3 linked regions of the Lonchura striata genome follow. The protein of the gene in region 1 binds, or shares a complex with, the protein of each later gene. Links are inferred from orthologs where the notes say so. Each region holds a gene or a part of one and is shown in the gene's direction. Other genes may lie near its edges.

What was found. Proteins that work in one complex are often made in the same cells at the same time.
Region 2: the proteins of RAB35 (region 1) and DENND1B are in contact, whole or in part, in a crystal structure (PDB 3TW8), measured with the Homo sapiens proteins. The link is inferred for Lonchura striata from reciprocal best matches to the Homo sapiens genes RAB35 and DENND1B. Residues at the interface, in NP_006852.1 of Homo sapiens: Lys10, Leu12, Ser17, Ser36, Tyr37, Ile38, Thr39, Thr40, Ile41, Gly42, Val43, Asp44, Phe45, Gln60, Trp62, Thr64, Ala65, Gly66, Arg69, Phe70, Arg71, Thr72, Ile73, Thr74, Ser75, Thr76, Tyr77, Arg79, Gly80, Thr81; in NP_001182144.1 of Homo sapiens: Met1, Arg4, Glu43, Ser47, Phe51, Val72, Leu73, Thr74, Asp75, Ile76, Glu77, Ser78, His211, Glu212, Arg213, Arg214, Gln242, His243, Ile244, Ile246, Leu249, His252, Leu253, Asp255, Tyr256, Cys258, Ala259, Pro260, Met261, Pro262.
Region 3: the proteins of RAB35 (region 1) and ACAP2 are in contact, whole or in part, in a crystal structure (PDB 6IF3), measured with the Homo sapiens proteins. The link is inferred for Lonchura striata from reciprocal best matches to the Homo sapiens genes RAB35 and ACAP2. Residues at the interface, in NP_006852.1 of Homo sapiens: Arg3, Asp4, Tyr5, Leu8, Ile41, Gly42, Val43, Asp44, Phe45, Ile47, Lys58, Gln60, Trp62, Phe70, Arg71, Thr72, Ile73, Thr76, Arg79; in NP_036419.3 of Homo sapiens: Val715, Ala718, Asn719, Ala720, Asp721, Val723, Thr724, Arg727, Leu728, Arg730, Met731, Glu734, Met735, Ser738, Glu748, Thr749, Gln751, Arg755, Asp756, Gln759, Met760.

What each region holds. Positions count from the first base shown.
Region 1 is NC_134620.1:5,002,150-5,009,887, forward strand, and holds the start of RAB35 (ras-related protein Rab-35), read left to right. Parts: upstream 1-4,666; 5' UTR 4,667-4,706; coding exon 4,707-4,758; intron 4,759-7,387; exon of another isoform or gene 7,388-7,738. UniProt on the Homo sapiens protein: The small GTPases Rab are key regulators of intracellular membrane trafficking, from the formation of transport vesicles to their fusion with membranes.
Region 2 is NC_134611.1:26,084,346-26,091,461, forward strand, and holds the start of DENND1B (DENN domain-containing protein 1B), read left to right. Parts: upstream 1-4,036; 5' UTR 4,037-4,106; coding exon 4,107-4,123; intron 4,124-6,893; coding exon 6,894-6,958; intron 6,959-7,116. UniProt on the Homo sapiens protein: Guanine nucleotide exchange factor (GEF) for RAB35 that acts as a regulator of T-cell receptor (TCR) internalization in TH2 cells. Acts by promoting the exchange of GDP to GTP, converting inactive GDP-bound RAB35 into its active GTP-bound form.
Region 3 is NC_134612.1:15,154,426-15,162,053, forward strand, and holds the start of ACAP2 (arf-GAP with coiled-coil, ANK repeat and PH domain-containing protein 2), read left to right. Parts: upstream 1-4,548; 5' UTR 4,549-4,637; coding exon 4,638-4,690; intron 4,691-7,628. UniProt on the Homo sapiens protein: GTPase-activating protein (GAP) for ADP ribosylation factor 6 (ARF6). Doesn't show GAP activity for RAB35.

The sequences.
Region 1 (7,738 bases):
AATACTGGTCAGCTGTGGCCAATTGTGACATGTGGCTAGAGCACATCAGGCTTAATCTCTGGTGACAACTATTTCCTTTCCAGGGTCTGTGCAAAAACTCCAATACTGGAGGTGTGTTGGTTTTTCCACGCACCCTGGAAGGCAGGAATAGAACTTGGTGAAAGTTCAGTTCTATTGTTTCTGTGTACTGCTAACTTGCTGCTTGTGACGGTTCTGAAGACTGAAAATCCCTGTAAAACGAAGTATTTAAAATAGCCTTAGAAATCACAGATGCGAAAGGGGAATTAAATGCAGTCCGTTTAGAGAAGGAACATTTAATAAAGGCTCTGACTTTGATCCTTCTGATGTAAACTGTTCTTTATACAAATTAATTTGTCAACAAACTTACACTGTGATTTACTTTTCAAACCTGTTTGGTTTAGAGCATACAGTTTATAGAGTGGACAATGCTGTGATCTGTGAAAACCTTTTGCAGAACTGAGGCAAGACAGGGTTTAAAGCCAAGGCAGAACTGACATTTAATGAAATTTGTAAGTAATTACTCCTGTTGATTTCCAAAGTATTTTTGACTACAGACAGCTTTTTAATTACCCAACTAGTGAAAAGTCCTCTGTATTTACGTCTTCAAAGGCATCACAAAATACTTGGCGTTAGTTTTTTTGGTCAATGAGTTGTGCTGCTCCAAGAAAGTCTTTTATTTTACCTGGCCACATATATCTGTCTTGAAAAAAAATCAATTTACTAGTAGATTTGATGTCACTTGATGGATATACTGAAAATCTTGTTGCAGAATACAAATTTTTAGAAGGCAAAATGAGCTTTATGTTTCACGTGGAGCAATAGTTACGTGAGCCTTACCTATTGTATGAAACTCACAGAAGGTGGTTGCACCCGAGAAGCCAGAGCACTAAGATTTGTTATTTCATGTGGGTGGTGTGTATGTGTGTGCATGTAATCTTCCTTCTTTATAACTCTGGATGCCTCAAACCATGATGATGGGAGAACACAACACTACACATAAAATCTGAGAGCATTAAGTGGAACTCCATGGGAGCACACATTCTGCTAGAAGCAATTTTCTGATTGTTATGGCAGTAGCAGTAAACACAAGAACATTTTTATCATACTCAGGCCTCAAACAGCAAGATACAACCATGAGCAGGTATTTGGGAATGCTGTGGTTTGTTCTGGTCAGAAGTACAAAAATCTGACAAAAGTTTCTTGGTGCTGTGTCAGTTCCCAGCCTGTGGTGTAGCATCCTGACAAGAGATTTGCTGTAGGAGTTAGTGGAAACTTGGGCAATTAGATATTTTACCCTTTACCTAAGATAGGCTCAGCTCCCACTAAACCATTCCTAGCAGACTGCCACACAGCTGTTTTATAGCATTATAGGATGGAGATTCCATAACTTCTCTATGCCATCTATTTTGTTATATGAACTTACCAGACTGTCAGGAATGTACCTCATGTCTGAAGAAAAAGTTTTCCTTGCTGCAACTTGAATCCATTGCTGCTTGTCCTGTTCCCACAGACACTGAAAACAGTTCCTTTTTGCAGCAACCACATTGTCACTTCAGTATCCTCATCCCTGGATGAAATAAATTCAGATTTTCTATGTATTTCCTTAGAGATTTCCATGTTTTCTAAACCTACACTGCTGCCCCTCATGTTGATTTGTTTCATTCTGACTCCTTTTTGCCTTGAGGTGTCCACTGCTGGCCCAGGTCTCCTGGGGAGTTGATTTGCAAGCCCCACTTAACAAACACAGTTGTCCGCCCCAGCACAAGGTCTGGGTGTTCCTTTGTTGCAACACCACCATGTTGTGGACATGTTAGTTTGTGATCAGCTATGAAGCCAAACTAAAAATGGCTCTTTAGTTAATTATGTCTAATCTTGTATTTATGCATTGGACACATTTCTACAAAACTGCAGCGCTTCCCAGTTGGTGTGACAGAAATTGTGTTCTATTTAATCACATTTAAGATGGGTTTTAATTCTGATTTTTGCATTTCAAAATACTTGCAAATCTGAAATCATCTGAAAACTACATATTTTGCATTGAATTGGTAATACTCAAGAGTGAAAACTCAGCTAAATGCTCTTAAAGATTTGGCAGCTTGGGGCACTGGAATGAGTTTCACCTGTGATGAATTAGCTGTGCTTTGGGATCCCAGGAACAGCAGTTAAACCATGCAATGCAAAAACCTCTGCCCTGACACATGTACAAAATCTGATGCCACTCAAAACCTACTAAGAATGTGTCAAAAAGCTGTGATTGTACTGGAATCACTCACTCCATCACTGCAGCCAGGAAGGAATGAAAAAATGGCAAGTTTTGGTGAAGATGCTGTTTGAGCTCTTGATCATGGGCACCTTGGCTTACCTATTCTGATTCCAATTGATGCTCCAGATAAACATGGGAAAGAAAATTATAGGCAAATGAAGCCTTTTTTATTAACTTGTTCATTTCAACCAATAAGATATTCTATTATTTTGATGATTTGTATTTCCAGCTTAGGTAGCAGCAAGTGGAAAACCTCATTCATCTTTCCAAACAACACCTGAATTTCTGCACTGAGCTTAGTTGTTCCTGGGAGGGAGGAGTGAAAGGTAGGAGCTCACTTGCACTTGTGGAGAATATGCTGATTTTTCAGTCACAGTGAAACACTCTATTTGGATTTTGATAGCTACTTTTGTTAAACTATTTATACATTGCAGTATAATATATCAGAGATAAAATAGCCATAATGCTTGCCACGAGATCTGATAAATTGATTGTGCCAACTTGGAGACTAAAGAATTAATTTTCTTATTTCAAATGTCTTAAAAATACCAGTTGCCAGTAAAAGATAATTTTTCCCTTCAATTGATGGTAATAACATCTTTGAACTGTCAAGCAACTGTCTCTGAGTGACAGCTGAACTGTGTGCATTTCAAGAAGATCAAAAAATAATTTATGAGAGAGGTTTACAAGGTGCTAAAAATTACAATGGAAGAGAGACAAATGTAAAAGCATAAAATACTCAAATATTTTGATTTTTTTTTTGATCAGTCACAGTTCTTACTGTCCATTTTATTTAGTAACATCATGACACTTTTCACATGATGAGGTTTCATGAGCTTAAAAATAGAGGTAATAGGAGTCACTGTCATTTTGGGTTTGAGCTGGTGGTTTGTGTGCTGGATTCAAGGAATTTCCCTGCAGCTACTGCGTCCTCAGTTACTCTGGTGGTGCTGGATTGCCCCAGTGCTTGTCTGGGGTGAGTGATTTTATATATATATATATATATATATATATACACACACACACACACACATATATATGTGTGTGTGTATATGTATGTATGTGTATATATATGTGTGTGTGTGTGTGTATGTGTGTGGTGTTTAAAATGCATGAATTGCAGAGTGAATGTCAGCTGAAGGTCACATGAATGGATTCCAGGATGTGAGGACCTTGACAGGGTGCACTTTGAAACCTATAATGTGTTTTTGAAGGTTAAGATTAAGAAAGGTTCATAATTAGGTGGAACATGACCCACTAGACCAGGTTGCCCCAGTCCCCACCCAGACTGGCCTTGGACACATCCAGGGATGGGGCAGCCACAGCTTGTCTGGGCAGTCTGTGCCAGGGCCTCTCCACCTCACAGGGAACAATTTATTCCTAATACAGACTCATTTATAATCTGTAACAATCCAAGTTCTTTAGTGCTAATATACCTCTTCCTATCTGAATGACAATGCATGTTAGTAAGACAGGTTTCATTAAATAATTCAAACTTGATCTCAGGAGTTCAAGTACGAGTGTGAATGTTTTTTAAAGAAAAATTAATCACAGCAAAAAGCCAGCACTTTTCTTGTGCCATGTCTCCACTTAGAAGTGACGATCTCCTAAAAAGTGACCACAGTCTTGCAGTAATTGTGTAATCAGTGTCTGTGCAACTGATAACAAAATCACTGAGGCTGCTGGATGACTGGGAGTGCTTTTGAACTGCATATATGAGCTGGGGACGGTGCAAGCACAGCTGCTGATGGGCGTGAGGTCAAAGCCCTTCCTGAGCCACACACAGGAACATCTCTGGATTAAAAACCCCAGGAATTCATTTCAGACTGGCCTGACTTGCCAGGCCTGTGACACACACCTGGGTAGCTCATATCACTGCTGTGGGGCTCCTCACCTGCGGCTTGGGCTGCGCTGGGAACTGTTCCTGTACCTACACAAATCGCTCCTTCGGAGCAGAGCTGGGAGTGCTGAGGCTCCCTCACGCCATTGATGCTTCCCTGGGGGCAGCGTCGCTTTCAGCCGCGTCCTCACACGAGCACCTACGGGAAGCGGGGCGGCAAAGCGCTCCCGATGAAAGGCCTGTGGGCGGCTCGGCGCGGGGGCAGGACGGGTTTGGGCGGAGGGCGGCGGGTCCCTCACCCTCACGCTGCCGCCATCCGCCGCCTCAGCCACCGCCCCTCGCGCGCAGGCGCGGGCGCGTGAGGGCGCGGCCGTTTTCCCGCGCAGCCGCGGCGCGGGGCGGGGCGGGGCCGGCGCAGGCGCGGCGGCGCAGCTGGCGGCCCGTGGCGGCGGCCCGGCGCATGCGCGGCGGCGGCCCCGCTGTCAGTTCCGGCTGTTTGTCCGGGAAGTGGCTCCGGCCGGAGCCGCCGCCGCCCCCCGCCCCCCCCCCGCCCGCTCCGCCGCCCGCGGCCGCGCCCCGGCCATGGCCCGGGACTACGACCACCTCTTCAAGCTGCTCATCATCGGCGACAGCGGTGAGCGCGGGCGGCACGGCCGGGGGCGTGGGTAGGCCGCTGGCGGGGTGGCCGCCCCTCGGGCCGTGAGGGGCCGGAGGCGGCGGCGGGGCTGGGGCGGGCGGCGCGGGGGGCTCGGGAGGGGCGGGCCCCTCCGCCCGGGCCGCCCTCGGCGTTGCGCTGCCGGTGCCGCGGCGCGGGGCTGAGGCGGGACCCCGCGCTGTGTGTGTGAATGGCGGGGCGCGTTCGCTGGGGCTCGGGGAGGTTTTATCTGATAAACCTGCGGAACTGGCTACCGCAGGATATTATGGTAAATAGCTTGGCTGCGTTTGGGAAAAGGCAGATTAGACACGCAGAAGGCAGGACACCACCGGCAGTGCTGCCGGCATCAGCCTTGGCGAGCGCGTGTTTTGACGGCACCCACTAATCTGTTGCTGGGATGGGGAGGGAATTCCCTTCCCCTGTGACAGGCAGTCTAGGGATCGAGGGGAAGGGCTGGCTGCCCTAAGGACTGTTGTTCCAGTGCGGCAGCTAATACGTTTTAACAGTCATTATTGTCTTAATTATTCCTTAAGACTTTTTCTATGCTTCAGCCTGAAGTCTCAGTTCCAGATTTCCTTATTTTTTTTAATAAATCCTGGAAGAGGTGGTAGCTTTGTGTACTTCTCGTTATTGCATAGAATGCAAATATATAAAAATAAAGGGTGTAGTCTGAGGTTTTAAAAACCAAAGGTGTAGATAAAAGGTGTAGTTTGAATTTTTTTTTGAAAATAGACCTTTAAATACTTCAGCAACCTCAGAAACTTCTGGAGGGCTGAGCGTGTGAACTGTGCCAGTGTCTGGTGCTTTGGTCTGGGTACACAGGAATTGGGACGGGGAAGATCGCTGCCGTCGGTGCAGCTCGGTGTTGGTAGCACTCCAGCAGCTTACAGCTGAATTTCCATAAACTGGAGAAGGGTGCATCCACCCTCTTCTTTTAACAGAGGTGTGGTCCGTGGGGCGGCAGGTCCCGGCATGCAGCGAGGCGCAGCCCTTGATGAAAGGGTGATGTTGCACGATCTTGGCAGTTGTCACCTTCGGAAGCTTTAGCTTCACGTCAGAAATGTTTTTTTCTACGCTAAACTGTGTCTGCATGAAGGGATCTAAGAAGGGAGACGGGACAGCAGCTTCAGAGCAGCTTAAACCCCAGACAGTTCTGGGAGCCTTGGATTATTGCAACCAAGCGCTGCATTCTGAGTAGAGCAGTGGCTCTGTTGGTTGCTGATGAGTTCCAAAACTGTTCAGGCAAGATAAACAGGATGGTGAAAACTCTGAGGAAGACTTCTCATTTTAAACAATTAAACAAATTTTGCCAGCTCAGTCTTCTTGAGCGAAATCCCTGTAGTGTATCCAGTGAAAGGAGTGTTGTGAGAATTGTCAGGCGGCCTGTGGTTTTCTCCTGTAATTAAATCTCACAATGTAGTTTGACTATTGATTTTTCTTTGTTTTTGTTTTTGCTAACCCCAACAGGAAAGCTTTGTCTCTGCTTGCATGAAACAGTTTGCTTGCCTTGTTTATTGACATTTATTCCCTGCAATAGGAAGTGGACTGTTACTAGATAGGATAATTATGTCTCATCTGCTTTCCCCTGTATGCAAATATGTCAGAGGGGTAGTAGGTTTGTGTGTTTTTAGAACAGGTCATCTTGAAAAGCTGCTGGTGATTTCAGCTGTGCCAGATATTTAAAAATAACACAGATGATCTGTGCTTTGCTTTTGCTTCTTTAGTTCACTGTACTGTTCAGTAAGATATGGGTCTTAGAATCTTGTCTGACACTGAAATATACTTTTAATTTTAATTTTGCAAAGTCAATAGGCTTTTTTTTTTGTTTTGTTTAATCTTGCTATCTTCAAGAAGCTGAGGGCCCTGCAAGACTTCTCTTCAGATCTTCAAACAGCTCTGTGTGGGAAGTGTGGGGTCACCAAGAGTGTGGTTTCTCTATGCGTGAACAGTGTGGGTCAGAGGCAGTGTTTGCTTAGTGAGATCGTTGTCACTGGGAGCATGCAGAACTTCCTGAGTTCAGGAGCTTTCTTCTCTCTGGGAGCTGCCAGCCTGCTGGGAGCAGTGCAGCTTGTGCAGTGGAGGGCAGTGTGACAGAGCAGTGTCATGTGCAGCTCTGCAGCATCGCCCAGGGCTGGCTGAGCTCGGACCTGGTGCTGTGGTCTGACAAGTCTGTGGGTTCTGGCACCTTCTTGCCTTTCACTGAGCTGAAGGCCAAGGCTGCTTGGTCAAGAAGCACAGCACTTGATGCTGAAACATTCTTGTTTTCTCTTAGTTTCTTATTTTTTCTTAGTTGACCGGTATTTGCAGAGCTTTAATTCTGGCTAAATGACCAGTCCTCTGAAGTACAGGAACTGCTCTGCTACCTTTTTTGAGCTCAGAGGTATTAATTATATGCATGCTGAAACTTTGTATTTTTTAGTTCCTTTCCTCTTTTCCTCCTTAGTTTGGTAGTAGTGAGGAATGAACATGGCTTCTCCAGATGGCTGGTGATTTGAACTCTTTGCAAATGAGACCTGGCTTACTGTAATCATGCGGATTTTTAGGCTGGTTTTTATTTTTTGTTGGTAGCTGTTGTCACATGCCAGCAGCTAAGAACTACTGGAGTTCTGCAGGGCCTTTACATAGGTCTTCTATTAAGAAGAATTTGTGATTTATACATCATCAAAATAATTACCTTGGAAAATTTCTCCCTGAAAAGATATAATAGATAATTATTTCAGTGAAGTGAATTTCCTATTCATGCCATAGCAGATTTATTTTGATGAGGAAGGGTCATTGACAGCAGAGATGTTATGCAGAGATAACAACGTGGAGGCATTTGGATACCCAGATTCCCTTGGGTGGGTGTACAGGAATGAGTTTCTTACAGTTCTTGTCTGAAGCCCTGTGAAAAATGCTTCCCTGCAACAGTGTGTTATCAGGGTGCCAACAATCAGTTATGGAAAACCTGGATGAAGAG
Region 2 (7,116 bases), on another chromosome or scaffold:
GTTGGGAGGACACACTGATTAGAAAGCCAGGGAATCCTCATTTCCATGCTGCAATGGTCTCTGCCCAGGAGTCCACTGATTAATTAATGAGTGTGTTTACCTGGGTGAGTTTGGGCAGGTTAGCCCTTGCACATAGCCTGGCTGCAAGGACAGTGACAGCTGCTGGAATGCAGCATCCCTGAACCTTAACGACAACCTAGCACAAGCATCACATGAAAATCCTTACCCAGCCATGGCAAGGTGTCACTTTTGGTCATGTCCACCTTAAATCATCATCTGCTCTTAAGCAGGAAAACTTAGAGCCCTTTACAGTGCATATTTGGATAAATAACATTGAAAGGTTAAAAATTATGTTTGTATGATCATGCAAGGAGTCAATACAAATGTGAAATACTTGTAGACATGTATATTCTATATCTATTTACTTAATAAACTAAAGTTTATTTATTTAGTATAAATATATAAATGATATAATATAAAGTATCTTTAAAGAAACTGAATGATGAAATCACATAATGTAGGTATATGGTGTTTCCTTAAAAGTATTTTTTTAAAGTATTGTCTCATGACAGTATTATGGCTAAGGAGTTTAATGGGGAAATTGATGTCTATGAATTTGGTAGTTTGGAAAACTTTGCATAGGTGAGATGATCTAGTCACTCATTTAGAACTGGGAATGGGTATATGTAAGATTCAAACAAAGTGATAAAACCCCAAAACCTCCAACCCCATTAAAATGGGGCTGAGAGTAAACTCATTGTAAGTGATGCTTTTCAAGTCTGTGAGGTGTGACAAGGTGATGATGTTGTTAGGAGATATACTGATAGCATCTGAGATAACATAAACCTACTGTAACTTCTTTGAAGGAACAAGGACTAAAACAGACCCAAGTACACTCAGGGGTGAGTGGAGAATTCTTGGTACAAGGTATAAACTACAGATTCTATCAAGGTATTCTAAAAAATATTTATTATGGCCATAGAGTGGGAAACTTAATAGGTTTTGATTTTGCCATTTTTGACAAACTCATTGGTGCTCCCAAGGGAGAACATGTCTTTCAGCAAGCTCTGCTAACAATGTTCTGAAGGAAATCCCTTTATGAGTTTCAGGAGCACTTAGGAGGAAGATCACTTTATTAGCAGCATGCTTTACTATTGAATGAATTGTACCTGGCAAGTGAGGAATTCTGTGATACTTAAGATTCCTTAATTCACACTATATCTGCTCCAGTTTATGGTGATGATGAGTGTTTTCTACATCTCAAAGACTTGCTGCAGTTATTTGGGGTGGGAGATTTGGATCTGTACAGAGTTACCTGTTGCTCCTATCTGCAAAACAAATGTTCATCTACCCCACCTCCAGCAAATCCATCTATATCAGTTCCTATGCTAATCTTTTAGATATAATTTAGGTTGAGGTCAGCCATTTTCATGTTATGCAAAACATAAAGAAAATGGCTTTGTGTTTTTTGGATTACATGTAGAACAGCTGATTTTGAAAAGTCCAAGTATCAGTTGCTTCATGGCTCTAATTTGGAATGAAAACCAGAGTAAAGAAAAGTAAACTACACTCACAGCTTCAGAATATACTATATTAATCAATTTTCTGCATATCTAGAGGTTTTGCTTTCAGATTTTCCTTCTTCCTTGATTCTCTTCCAAGGAAAAACTGAAACCAAGGCAGTGGCAAGAGGTAGTTTTGAACACCAATACCTTTCCCAAAATATCATCTTTCATTAGAAGCTGCCGTGGTTGCAAAACAGTCTTGAAAACATGAACTAAGTGTAACCTGGGCAGAGATGTCTGCTTAAGCTTTCACAGAGTCTGAAATAATAGCTCTGAGAGATGTGAGCCTCATCTCAACAGGGTGTTCTCTCATATGCCTTCTATTTTAAACTTGAACTTTCTCTACTCTTCCTGCTCTTCCAGGCAGGCAAGGTTTAGTCACTGCATGCAGTCAATTTACTCCAGTGACAAGGCATGTATTTACTTTGGGAAAGAAACCCTACCTATTTTTTCTCCAATTATGATAAAATGAAATCTAAGGGACCCAATGGTCCTATCTGCCAAAAGAGACCCTAGTCCAGGAGTGGCTGGAATTGCATGGTAGGTCAGCTTGACAGGCCACCAGATTACTCCTCTGTCTGCAAAAGTGGCAAGCATCAGCAGCTTAAGAGAAGAGAGAAATAAACACACACTAGACTTATAAAATATTTACTGTAATTCAAAATACAGATTTACTGCAATACCAGGGTTTTTCCTGGGGGGGCGGGGGGAGGATTGGGGTTTTTTTGGTTTTTCTTCTTGTACACCTCAAATGGAAATTTTCCACAAGTAAAATGTCTCAATATTTGGATAATCAGCTGCTCCAAATTCAATCTTGTTAAAATATTGGCTATTTTTTTTTTTTGCAGAAGAGACTTTCAAAATCTTTGTGCTTTGCAGTAGGTCTGGGGGGAGAGATGGAGGGCAGAAGGAAAGAAGGCAGAAGGACAGAGGCACATACATGACTGTGGTTGTGCCCCATATCCTTCCCCATGTGCTTCCTCTCCTTTTGGTTCTGTAACATCCCTGGGTGCTGGATACCTTGCTCTCCCCATCCCCTTGCTAGAGCAGACACGGGCATTGCTCCCTTCTCTCCTGGCTCTTTAGTCCAAACTGATCCCACCAGAGAAGTTCAATTTAACAGTGGGTGAATGAATGCTGCCTGCTGTGAGGGCCTCTCATGGTACACAAAAATACACATTTAACTTTTATTTTCCCTAAAAAACCCCTGAGCTACATGAAGCTACGTTGTTATATGTTAAGGATACAAAGCCCCAAGCAATTTTCATTTACTTCAGTGGGAGTTGCAAATACTGGCTGCTAAAACGTAGCCAAAAATTACCACAAAATGAGGCCTGGGAAAGCAAGTACTTGAAACCCAAGAAAATCCCCAAGCTAAGGTTACTGCTACAACATTCAGTTCTTTTTGTTGCACATCTATACAGTTTATTATTATTTAATCTATGTCCTGTGAGGTGTGTAGGATGTGCAATGAAGCCAAAACAATATTGGTTTGGAGAAGTTAATATTTGTAATTTCCTGACTTTTGAATATTTGATTTTTCAGCCCCAGTAATGCACTAATGCTGTTTTATGTGTTTAATATATAATTGGCTTGAATTTTTTTCATCTTTTCAACTGTTGATACGATGATTAGCTTCTAGAGGAAGAGTGAAAGAATGACGTTTTTTCTTTGGCCCAGTACCACAGAATCTATTTTATGCACTTTTTCATTGCAGTGTTACTATGTTGGTGAGGGAAACTTGGTGTAGGTGGGAATTTGGCTGCTCAGTAGCTCTCAGATGAATGAGACTTGGAAGCCTCTCAAGGACGGTGTTATTTTTATTTCCTTTCCAAACTCGAGGGAAGCACTCGAAGATTGAAAGCTTTTTATGTGTGTTTACGGGACGGTGGGTTTGCTCCAGCCGTCCCTGCTGCACCAGCTCTTCAGCAGTTTGGGATAGTATTTGTCCAGCACTCGATAAAACAAAACGCTAAGCAGATTACAGCAGGTTAAATTAACATTTATGACCTTTAGTACGAAAAGCTCCCCTTTCCTGCTGTGCATAAAGAACGTGAAAGGGCTGCTGCGGTGTGTCAGAGCACACAGGAGCCGGAGCCATCCCCTGAGGGCTTCAGCAGGGTGAAGGTGCCGCTGAGGGGGTCCCTCACGCCGCTCCCCGGGCGCTGCCCCGGCCCACCTGCCGGGCCTCGGCCGCACCTGCCGCGGAGGGCACGGGCCGCCCGCCGCCCCCGCCGGCCTCAGGTGACACCAGCCCCGCCGGCTCCCCGGGCCGCCGCGGAGCTTCCTGCTTCCCAGAAGGTGCCGGAGCGGCTGCAACAGGAACTGAGAGACGGGGGAGGAGGCGGTGCCGCCGCTCCGCCGCAGTCGCGGCCCGAGCCGGGGGAGCGGAGCGGAGCAGCCATGGGCCGCCGCCCGCCGCGGCGCTGAGCCGCCCCCGCCGCCCAGCGCTCCGCGGCCGGCGCTGCCCCTTCGCCCCCGCCGGGCGGGGCGCTTGTCCCTGGGGGCGCCGGGGCCGCCGCCGGGGCCCGCGATGTGACCATGGACAGCAGGTTCAAGTGAGTGCTGTGTGCGCGGGGCTGCGGGGCGCGGCGGGCCGGGCCGAGCCGAGCCCCCGCGGCGGGCAGGCGGCGAGCAGGCCCCGAGGCAGCCCCGGTCCGCCGGGCCCGGCGTGCGGCGGGCGGGGACGGGAGGAGGGGGAGCCCACCCGGCGGGAGCGTGCGAGGGGCCGGGCGCGCCCGCCGCGGCCGCTGAGTGACAGCGGGAAGGGCGGGCGGGAGGCGGCGGGGCCGGGGCCGGGGCGAGGCGGGACCCGCGGCGCGGGGGGAGCGGCGGCGCCCCCGACCCGGCCCGCGGCGGCGGGGAGGAGAAGGGGGCGGCCGCGGCCCCGCCGGCCGCTCTCCCGCCCCGCGCCGCCTCCCGGCCCCGCGGCCGCCCCGGCATCGCTCGGCAGCCGCCGGCCCGGCCGGGCAGAGGCCCCGGCGCCGGTCGGGCTGTGCCCGCGGAACGGGGCCTGTGCGGGGCCGGCAGCGCGGTGCCGAGCCCGCCGGCCCGGCAGAGCTGCCCGCAGTGCCCCTGCCCGCCGCGGGCCGAGGCTGTTCCAGGCATCCCTCTAGAAGGTGGCAGAATTGTCAGGGCTGGGAGGGAGCTCTGCAGATCATCCCGTCCCCTCGCCGTGCCAAGCCAGGGTCATGTAGAGCAGGTGACACAGGAGCACTTCAGGTGGGTTTGGAACGTCTTCAGGGGAAGACTCCACGACCGTCCTTGGGCCTGTTCACTGCTCTGCCGCCCTCAGTGTACTTCCTCACGTTCAGGTGAAACTCCATGTGTTACAGCTTGTGACCACCCTTCTGCCATCACGGCATGGCAGGTGCAGGAGGGTTCCTTGGGTGTTTGGGAGCGCTGCTGTCCAGGCTGCTCTCCGGCAGCGGCCGCCTGCTCTGGTGTCATTGAAAGCGACAAGATGTTACACACGGCTTTCGGCAATTGACAAACAGCTTCGTGTCTATACGCGCTGAGCAGGCTGGCACCGCGGAGCTGGCAGGGAAACGAGAGACCAGAGACAGGCTCACAATTCTCACATTAGTTTGACACATTTTTGACACTTCTAAGCGTAGTGGGATGTGAAGAGTAAACTTAGAAGCATTTTCCTGCAAAAGCAGTTTTAGCGTACTACAGTGAAAGACAGAAGGCAGTATTACTTCAAAGACGCTTTTTGAGTGTAACTCATCTAGGAGTTGAGTTAGAAACACTCATTTGGTGATTGTAACACAAACTGATTCACATTAAAAAACCTCAACCTGAGAGGATGAACCCAAGGCCTAAGCTAGAGCAATGTCATGGGGGGATGTAAATTCTTTTAAATGAAGTAATTTTGTGGTTCAGTTTTCTAGGTTACTCAACCAAGCACAGCCTTATCAGTTTCATTCTGAACCTGCTCACCAGCCAGAGGAAAAATGGACAGTTTAACACCAGAGTAAATCTCCAATGTCCTGGATTTATGCTGTTGTAACTCAAACCAGAATTTAATCTCCTATACACAGGATCAGTAGATACAGGATTTCCCCCTAAAAAATGCTTTAAAATGCAAGGAAAAAGTGTGACATGGGCAGTTTATGTCTTCATAATCCAAATTGGACTATAACTGTGTGTCTCAATGGATGATGGTGCTGAGGTCAGTGAAAGCATTAACTGAATCAATTAATTTGTGACAGCTGAGTTTTTCCCTGGCTCAGCCTTTGGATTTCATTCAATACTTTATTTAAAGAAACAACAATGTTTTAATTTGCTTTATGTGAAGCATCCTAGAAACCTGGAACCAAATAATGGTGTTTTTTTTTTTTTTTTCCCTCTGCCTAAATCTCCAGCTGATTTCAGTGGGAGTGTTACACAAGATAGGAGTTCTAGTGTGAGCCTTTTATGTGGTTAAATAGATAATTGATATGGGTGCGGTTATACCGCTTGTTTTTAATATAAATAGCAGTGTGCTTGGTAGGCAGAGAGGGGTGGATGGCATGGTAATGGCATTTAGACCTGTTTCAATGAGTATGTAGTTTGGGATTAGGCTGAGTGTTAATTGCTGTTGGCACATGCAGTTTTTTATTATCATCAGGTGGAAGAGGCGCCGGCCGTCACACGCAGCTGCCCTTGATGGCTACTGCAGATAGGGAGGCACTCGATAAAACGAGTTCCTGGCTAGCTGGGGCTTGTGTCCATCCCCAGTTAGGGCACGCGTGTTGGCTCTCGCGCTGAATCACGCCTGAGGTTCAGCCTTTAGAGTCCCAGCTGGCCATCGATCGATACCTGGTGAAAGAGGAAGCCAAACGATTCTCGGCCTTGGGGTGGTAATCAGGCGCTTTTAAAGGATAGCGGCTAAACACAGGGAATCCAAATGGAAGTCTAATGATGGGCTATTCCCACGTAGTAGAAATAAGACATAGCTGTAGAAAAGGCTGCCTGTGACTTCATTAATATTGCAGATTGATTGATTGATAAGGAGCTTAATAGCTTTTTTCTCAACTGTTAGATGAGTTATGGAGTGACTTAAAAGCTATTTTATATATATATATATATATATATATATGGCAGTGACAATATAATGTAAATAAATCACAAAGTTTAGCTTGTTTATCTTTCTTATTCCTTTCTTAAGGCCATATAGGGAAATGTGATGTTTTGGTTCTTCCTTAGAACTAATCTGAGTACTAATTTTGTTTTAATGATATTTTAATTCTATTTATTATTCTGCAAAAATAATGGAAAGGATATAACAGTAGAAATAAGATCTGAAATATGTATGTGATAATCGATTGTGTTTGTTTCTTCCAGGGAAAATCCAGAACGTACCTTTGATTTGGTACTGAAAGTAAAATGCCAAGCTTCAGAAAACGAAGGTAATGCACTTTGCCTATGATATTTATGTAGAGAAATGAGAGCTGGAAAAAAATAATTGTCATCCCAATCTAGTGTTATTTTATACTTTGAATTGCTTTTGGACTGAGATTGTGTTAGAATGTACCTATGATTATTTTATTGCTTTTTAAAATGTATT
Region 3 (7,628 bases), on another chromosome or scaffold:
CCATCAGGACTGGTTGTTTTGTGGAGCTCTCTCTGGCTTATTGTGAGGCCGTGCAAGTTCCTTACAGCTTTTCTCTTAAATCACAACCACTGTTACTCTTCTGGCTCTTGTTTCAAATGTTTGGTTCTTTCCAGTTGCATGAACAGTGTTTGTGCTGTTAGCACCTGAGGAAAAACACCCAGCCATGAGTGTATAAATCAGGACTGAAGATGTGCTGAGCCTAGGCTCTGGCTGTTCTTTATTAAAGATAACTGCTGTTGATCTACTCTTTTGGGGTTGGCAACGTCCACACTGAAAACCATTGGTCTAAATCTTCCTGTGTCATTGCAACTTACAGCAACTGCTTTTGTAAAATGAAGGCTTTTTTGAAGCGAGAAGGGAAACTGCCTAATTCAAATACTTGTTTACAGTGTGGTTGTATAGCTGTAAAGAGGGATTCTGCACCTCCAAATTGCTGTAAAAACTTCCCACTGGGTGGAATTTGACTGGTGAATGTTCCAGTATTCAGAGTAGTTCCTGGGTTTTATTATACAAACGAAGTACACACTTAAGCTTCAGCTTGATTATGAAATACAGTGTATATCTTAATTTTGATCTGAATTTGATATGTTGCAAAAATCCATATAATTATATGGATCAATTTTAAAATGTCTTTTTCTCCACTGTATATGTGAAGTTTGAATAAAGGAATGAAAGTTATTTTACAGTTACATACATTCTCAAGTGTGAGCTTTCCTGGAGTCCCAGAGAAATTGAGAGTGAATAAGGCAATAGGATGCTGTCATTTGAAAGATTTTTACAGGAATGATTAATTAGACTGGACGCATTGCCAAAGATACCTGTGAATTATGCTGTGTTTTGTAGGGTGCCTTTCCCAACTATCTCCTCTCCTTAGTAGGGTGGTCAGTTTTGGGTTAGTTAATCTTCTAAGGTCCTGAATTGAGATTAATAGGGTCTTTTCACAAAAAAGAGCTGAACTCTTGATTCTGGCCAGTGTGGTGATGCTACTTTTTCAACATGCTGAGTGCTATTACTTCTTGTATCAAATGTGGTCACTTCCATGGAGTAAACAGTGGCAAAGGGTAAGCATTTAGATACTTTGACTCATCAAGTCACATACTGCAGCTTTCAATTTGGCTCCTAAGAATAGGATTTCAAAACTTTGTTTGTACCTTTTATAAACCAGCTTGCAGTGTTCAGAGTGTTGGCCTGTGTGCACTGAGCTGTATTTCAGACTGAGCAGCTGCTGGCCTGGCCTGCCCCAGCTGGGCACTGAAATTCTGAAATTAAGGTAGAATCCAGCAGCAGCAGCTCTTACCCGAGCTAATGTCCTGCCCTCCTTAACCCCCCCACTTTCTTGTGTCCAAGGCCATTTGGTGCTCAGCAGGGCTCCTTTGTATCTTACAAGGTCTAGAAAGCATTTTCTTTAACAAACAAACTTCTCTAACTTCCAATAAAGACCTTTCCTGTAATGGCTTCCACAAATCTAGATGAAATGAGTATGCAGCTTTGAGGGAGGTACACAAATGCATGAAGACGGTTTTAAATTAACCACATAATGTATACTAGGTTCCTTCATCACTCAGGTGATTTTGAGCTGCTTGGGTGATCTCCTTTTTCTGTGCCTCCAAGCACCTAAATTCCGAGTTTGATGCTATTTTGAAACTTGATTTAGTTTGGGGTTTTTTTAAAGGCTTTGTTCTCTTCATTTTCCTCAGTGCTCGCAGAAATTCTGTTCACAGTGCTTCTTTGTCTTCCTCAGCAGAAGTGCAAGCCAATGTCCCTACCACTGCTTCTAAGTGAAAGGCTGGTTTACTTTGCTTACACCTTGATGCATTTTAAAAACTAAATCATGCAAGTTTTACTTTGCAGTAGCTCCAGAAGTTCCATACAGCTTTTTTTACAAAGGGATATCTGATTTCCCTCTGCTTGAGAAATATCAGGAGTTCCCTGTTGAATGGGGACAAGAGAAGAAATGTGCTTTCTCTTTTTACATTTGATGAGGACTTAGCTAGCTTGCATATGGTAAATACTCGTGTACAATACAGAGTGGTGTAAAGAGGAAACAAACACAGTACTTACTTATGTGGACAGTGAGCTCCACAGTACCATAATTGTGAATTTTCTTGCAAAGGTTTAAGTCCTCAAGCTGCATCCTGTTTAGAGAAGGCATTTTCAATATGCTTCCAGTAGGAAGATCACTTACAAATAAGAGCCTTAACTCATGTGTATAGATTTTTTTTTTTCTGTCTATAGCTTCTTTCCCACCAACTTGTATAATTCATGGAAACTGCAGATACTTTTTCCACAGCTAACCTCTCTCATGTGAAATTTGTATATCTTACCAGAACTCTTTGTTTCTGTAACATGCTTTTTTGTGGTACTATGATGCCACCTCACAAATGTAATTATTGTTTGAAACTGGTGTTAAGTGTCACAACATAAATAAAACAATTGTTTTCATTACTACCTTATGACACTAATACTAATCTAATGTTTGGCTTCTTGGAGCTCTTCAGAAGAAACTGGCAGCTAACATTTGCAGGTATGTTCATAGATAAATTCTTAAACCAATATTGTAATTTCCTTATGGCTCTCATTTATAGTAACTTTGATGTAAATTTGTTTGTTCACACAGATTTGCTGGCTTGCCTAGGCCTGAGGGTAGATCTGGTAACCTAAGTCAGGAACTTAAGACAGCAGTACCTCAGAAAAGGCTGCATTTTTCAAGGTGTTTTTGTGTGTTGTAGGATTTAACCACAACTGATCTGTCTCTTCACGGTCAACACTGAGTCATCACTCACTAGCATGGAGTAATGGAAAATGACTAACAGCAGCTACTTCTTAGGAAGTAAAACTCTTCCTCAAAACAGAGCTGGGCTCTTTTCAATTGCATTCTTCAGTTGAAAAGTGGATTTCACAACATAAATGCAGCTTCAATTACACAAATATTAACATGCTGCTTTTCCTGAGTAGGTGTGACTTGGATGCCTAATCAAAATAGTGGTAGTTTGGCTAGTTTTGGTGAGGGACAGCTCACAAAAATATACAGTTACATCCATGTAACTTGTAGTTTGGTTCTGACATTTCATGAGTCTTGTAAAAAAAACCCTGACATTCTAAATTACAACTGACTGAACTAAGTGTCCCTCACTAAAGGTACAGCAGGCATCCAGCCTCTTGGAACCCCTCCTTCCACGTTGACTGTTTCTCATTGTAGCATTGAAAGGAAGCGGGGGAGAGAGAATGGGAAGAATATGAAAAAACAAAAGAGCTAAAACAAGAGGTGAAACTTAGTGGAGATGCTGGCATGAGGGAGGGTATGAAAGCTGTAGGGGGTTTGTGGGCTCGCTGGAAGCAGGTATGGCCTCGCTGGAAGCAGGTATGGCAGCTCGTCAGACTCTGGGAGGAGGCAAGAGTGAACATCATCTACTTCGGTCAGCTTCTCAGCACCATCCCTGTGACTGCTTCATCTTTGACAAGTTAACTTGGATAGCAACTTTTGCTACTCTGTTGCTCCTTTTTGAAGAGGAGTGGGGATGGCTGGTGCTCCTGTCTGTCTGTTTTACACCTGGGAACATTAAGCACACCTAACTGGTTAAGAGATCTTTTTCTCTCTTCTCTTAAACGATCAGAAATCTACAACGTTCTGCTGTCCTTCACTGCAACCTGGAGACTGCAACGTGGTCCTGTTCACTCTGTATCACTCCACTTCAAAATACGATCCGCTCTAGCTCGGAGTATTCTCGGACAAAGGTTCCATAAGAAACCCAAGCATGCACGCTTGATATTCCTTGACAGGAAAACCTGCGGTTTGCGTTTCTCCTTCAGAGACTCCTTTGAGTCTCCCCCCCAGTTATTTCCTCTGTGTAGAAGTGAATCACGCCGGAGAGCGAACTGAGCAGGAGCGTTGCTCCCGCCGCTGGCCCCCCAGCAGGGCCGTACCGCCCCGCCGGCCCTGCCCCGCGCCGGCGCTGCGCGGAGCCCGGCTGACCGAGGCCGCTCTCGACCCGGTGCAGCAGCTCCGGGGCCCGCCCGGGCCTTCCCGCGCGTCTCACCCCCGAGGGAGCGATTCCCCCGTTTAATGAAGAGCTGTAATTAAAAAAAAACAAGCAGGCCCGGCCCCCCCCAGGCAGCGTCAGGCGGCGAACGCCGGGCCGGGCTGTGGCGGGGCATCCACGGCCATGGAGCTGCCGCTTGGCGCGGCCGCCTGCCCATTGGCGGCCCGAGCTGTCGCTCTGAGCACGCCGGGGCGGGAGCAATCGCTGCGCTGCCGGCGGTTGGCTGCATCTTCCGAGCGGCCACGCTCATTGGGCGCTCTGCCTACTGAGCCCGCCCCTCTGGCGTTGTGATTGGCCGGCGCGCCCCCCGCTCTCGCAGGAGGTCCCTGCTGGCTGCCCGGGCCGTCAGTCGCGCCCGGGCGGGGCGGGCCCCGGGCGCTGCGGCCACCGCCCCCGCCCCGAGCACCGCCCCTGCCCCCAGCACCGCCCCTGCCCCGAGCACCGCCCCTGCCCCGAGCACCGCCCCTGCCCCGAGCACCGCCCCCGCCCCGCCCCGTCCGCCGGCCCTGGCCCGGTCTCGCCTCGCCACCACCGCCAGCAGCCGCAGCAGCGGAGGCAGCGGCGCGCCCCGCCACCATGAAGGTGACCGTGGACTTCGAGGAGTGCCTGAAGGACTCGCCGCGCTTCAGGTGCCGCCGAGAAGGGGCCGGGCCGAGGTCGTGCCGGGGGACAGGAAGCGGGGCCGGCTGTGTGCGGGGCGGGCCGGGCTGTGGGGCGCTGGGGCTGACAGGTGCTGGCGAGCTGTGGGCAGCCGGCCTTGAGCGGAGGGGCGGGCAGGGGCTGTGTGGGTCCTGCCGGGCCTGGGGGCTCTGGGGGGAAGGGAGGCAGCGTGTGCGGTGCTGGGGCCGGGCGGGCGGGTGCGGGCTCCGGGCGGGGGCAGCGCTGGGCAGCGCTGGGCAGTGAGCGCCGCGGGGTCACGCCTTGGAGGAGATGGGGTGAGTGGTGGCGGGCGGCTGGTGCGGGCAGTGCTTGCCAGCCGAGGCAATGTCAGCTGAGACTCAGGCTCGGAGGGTGAACTCTTCGGTGGTCCGTCTTCCGTTCTTCAGAGTTGTGCTCACATTTCACTTCCCAGTGTCTCCTGCCTACGTTCTGTTGTGTGTCCGTATTCGGTGTGGCCACTGTTGGGGTGCCAGTAGCAAACAAGCTCAGTATCGTCTTACTTCCTGTTGTCAGAGCAAGGCACGCACTCCTTTGTTTTTCCCCAGTCGAGTGACCGGTTGTCTATCATTGCTGTAGGGTTATTTCTGCTTATGTCAGGCAACATTCCCCTGTCTTTCCTTACGTTTTTACCCATTCTATATATGTATTTTACACCGTTGTATCTAATCAACGTAATTGTGCCTCCCTGTGGGATGTGTGGCTGGTCTGTGCCTACATTCACCCAGTTTCTGTGCCTGCCATTACCCTGCTAGACGATGGAGATGCAAACATCTCCGTGATGTGATGTGATGTGGCACTGCTGTGCCACTCCTGTCCCATGCCAAGCTCATATCTCAAGTGCCTGTGGCTCTGTGGTGAGCTCTGGATGTTGAGGAAAATAGTACTGCTCTTTCTCTACTCTCTGGCTGTATGTTCACGCCTCCTCTTTTGTATCAGCTTTAGCAATCCTGTGGTATCTGGGATGTAGAGGAAGTTGGAGAAGGAAGGTTGGTTGAATGGCTTACCCTTGGCAGAAGTTGGAGTTCCTGTTCTTCCCTCCTTTGCTTCTGCCTCTGCTGCTAGTTTGTCACTGGCTGCTTCTCCCACGGGTTTTTTGGTGACTGTGACGTGTGTTGTTGGATCCTTTAGTGTCTGGGTGCCCTGGCGGAAGAGACTGGATGGTTCTCTGCCATCCAGGTTAGTGAGTTCTGTCAGCATCTCAGTGGGTGTGAAACCTAAAGCTTATGGGGAGTAGAGAGAAGAAACTTCACTGCCAGAAGCAAAGCTAGGGGAAGGCAGTGGAGAGCAAGACCTCCCTCAGGGCTGCAGGCAACTTTTACATTGGCTTAGGTCTTTCACAAAACTATGTCCTGAGCTGGACATGCTTGCTAGTGTATATACATTCTGAGACAACTGAATTTAGTGTTGGTTCATCCCATTTGGTGACAATGCAGTTGTAGATTGGCATAATTTAATCAGAAAACTGTACCAGTAGTTGCATTATTTTAATTACTCATACCTGCTAAAGTACTAAAGACACTCAAGCAAACAAGAAGTTGTGACTAAAATTTGTGAGCAGAAGTGTGCTGCTGTTTTTCCAAGGTAAGTCGTACTAGTTCATTTGAATTCATTTTGTATCATCTTCTTTTGCCTCTCTTGATTCCTTTCCTTCAAGGAAAAGAAACTGGAGAAAACACTTTGTTAGGGTCTTCTTGTACCTCATGGTCTTTTTCCCAGTCTGATACTACTATCTTTAAATGAATTGCAGAAAACCTTATGGCATAATCACTTGATGCCAGTAAACCTTTAACTGTTAGGAAATGGGTAAAATTGCAAGGCAGAATTCCTGTAGTATTTCTGAAAAGGTTCATATCTTTCATTATTAGTCATCAATACTTGTTATAATTTTGGTTATTCTTAATGTTCATATAAATTACCCAACCCAAACAGTAGAAACCTTCTGAATGAAGGTTACTGCAGTGGTTTTACTGAGGGATGATAGAGGCACTAATGTAGAGCAAGGTTGTGACAAAGTCCTATGTTCTTCCAGGGGGGAGTGTGGACATAAAGCAGCTTCTTGCTCTGTGTTCCTTGTAGCAAAGCTGAGCTGCAGCTTTCTCCTGACCTTGCTGAGCAGGAGGGTGTAGCCTCTGTCCTTCCTGTCAGTATACCTGTCAGAGCTCTTAAATACAACTGTTGGGAGGTATGTAATGAATAGAAATGTCACAGGCTACTTTCTTATGGTTGTGGTGATAACTGGGAGGACATGGGTAAATCAGAGTTCCTGAGTCACTGAATCCCTGTTTTCATGGGGACCTATTTAAATCTTTCAAAACACGCTACTACAGGCAGCTTCAGCCACATGGCTTTTATTCTTGCTTATCTGTTTCTGATGAAGTTCATATTGATATTTCTTGGTTTTGAGATTTAATTGGACCCCAAATCACAGCACCTAAGATCTGTTTCCTTGCTTAAAGTGCTTGTGAAAGGATGGTGGATTGTAGCTGTTGAGGTGCTGATATGTGATTAGATAATAATGACTATAAAGGTTCACATCAGAAGTATGATGAGTTATTTCATAGCAAGGCATACTGTTTTTTTTTTTCACCCTCTACCAGATGATAAAGAAGTCTCTGAATTAGAAAACCTGAAGCAATAATGGCTTATTGCATCACTAGATTTGTAAACTTTCAACATGCCAAATCAGTTTGTAGTTGGAAACTTGATGTTCAGAAACTGATTTTTAAGGTAGTGGGAAAGGCTGTGAGTTCAGGCACACTTTTGCAAATGTGTAGTCATGTGTTTTTCCTAAACTTGCTTTGAAAATATACTTGCTGAAATCACATGCTTTTCTGTCATGATCCCTTCTCCTAAAACATGGCCAAAGCAAGGATCTAGCGAGGAAATGTGTTTGCAGTTTGTGTCAAT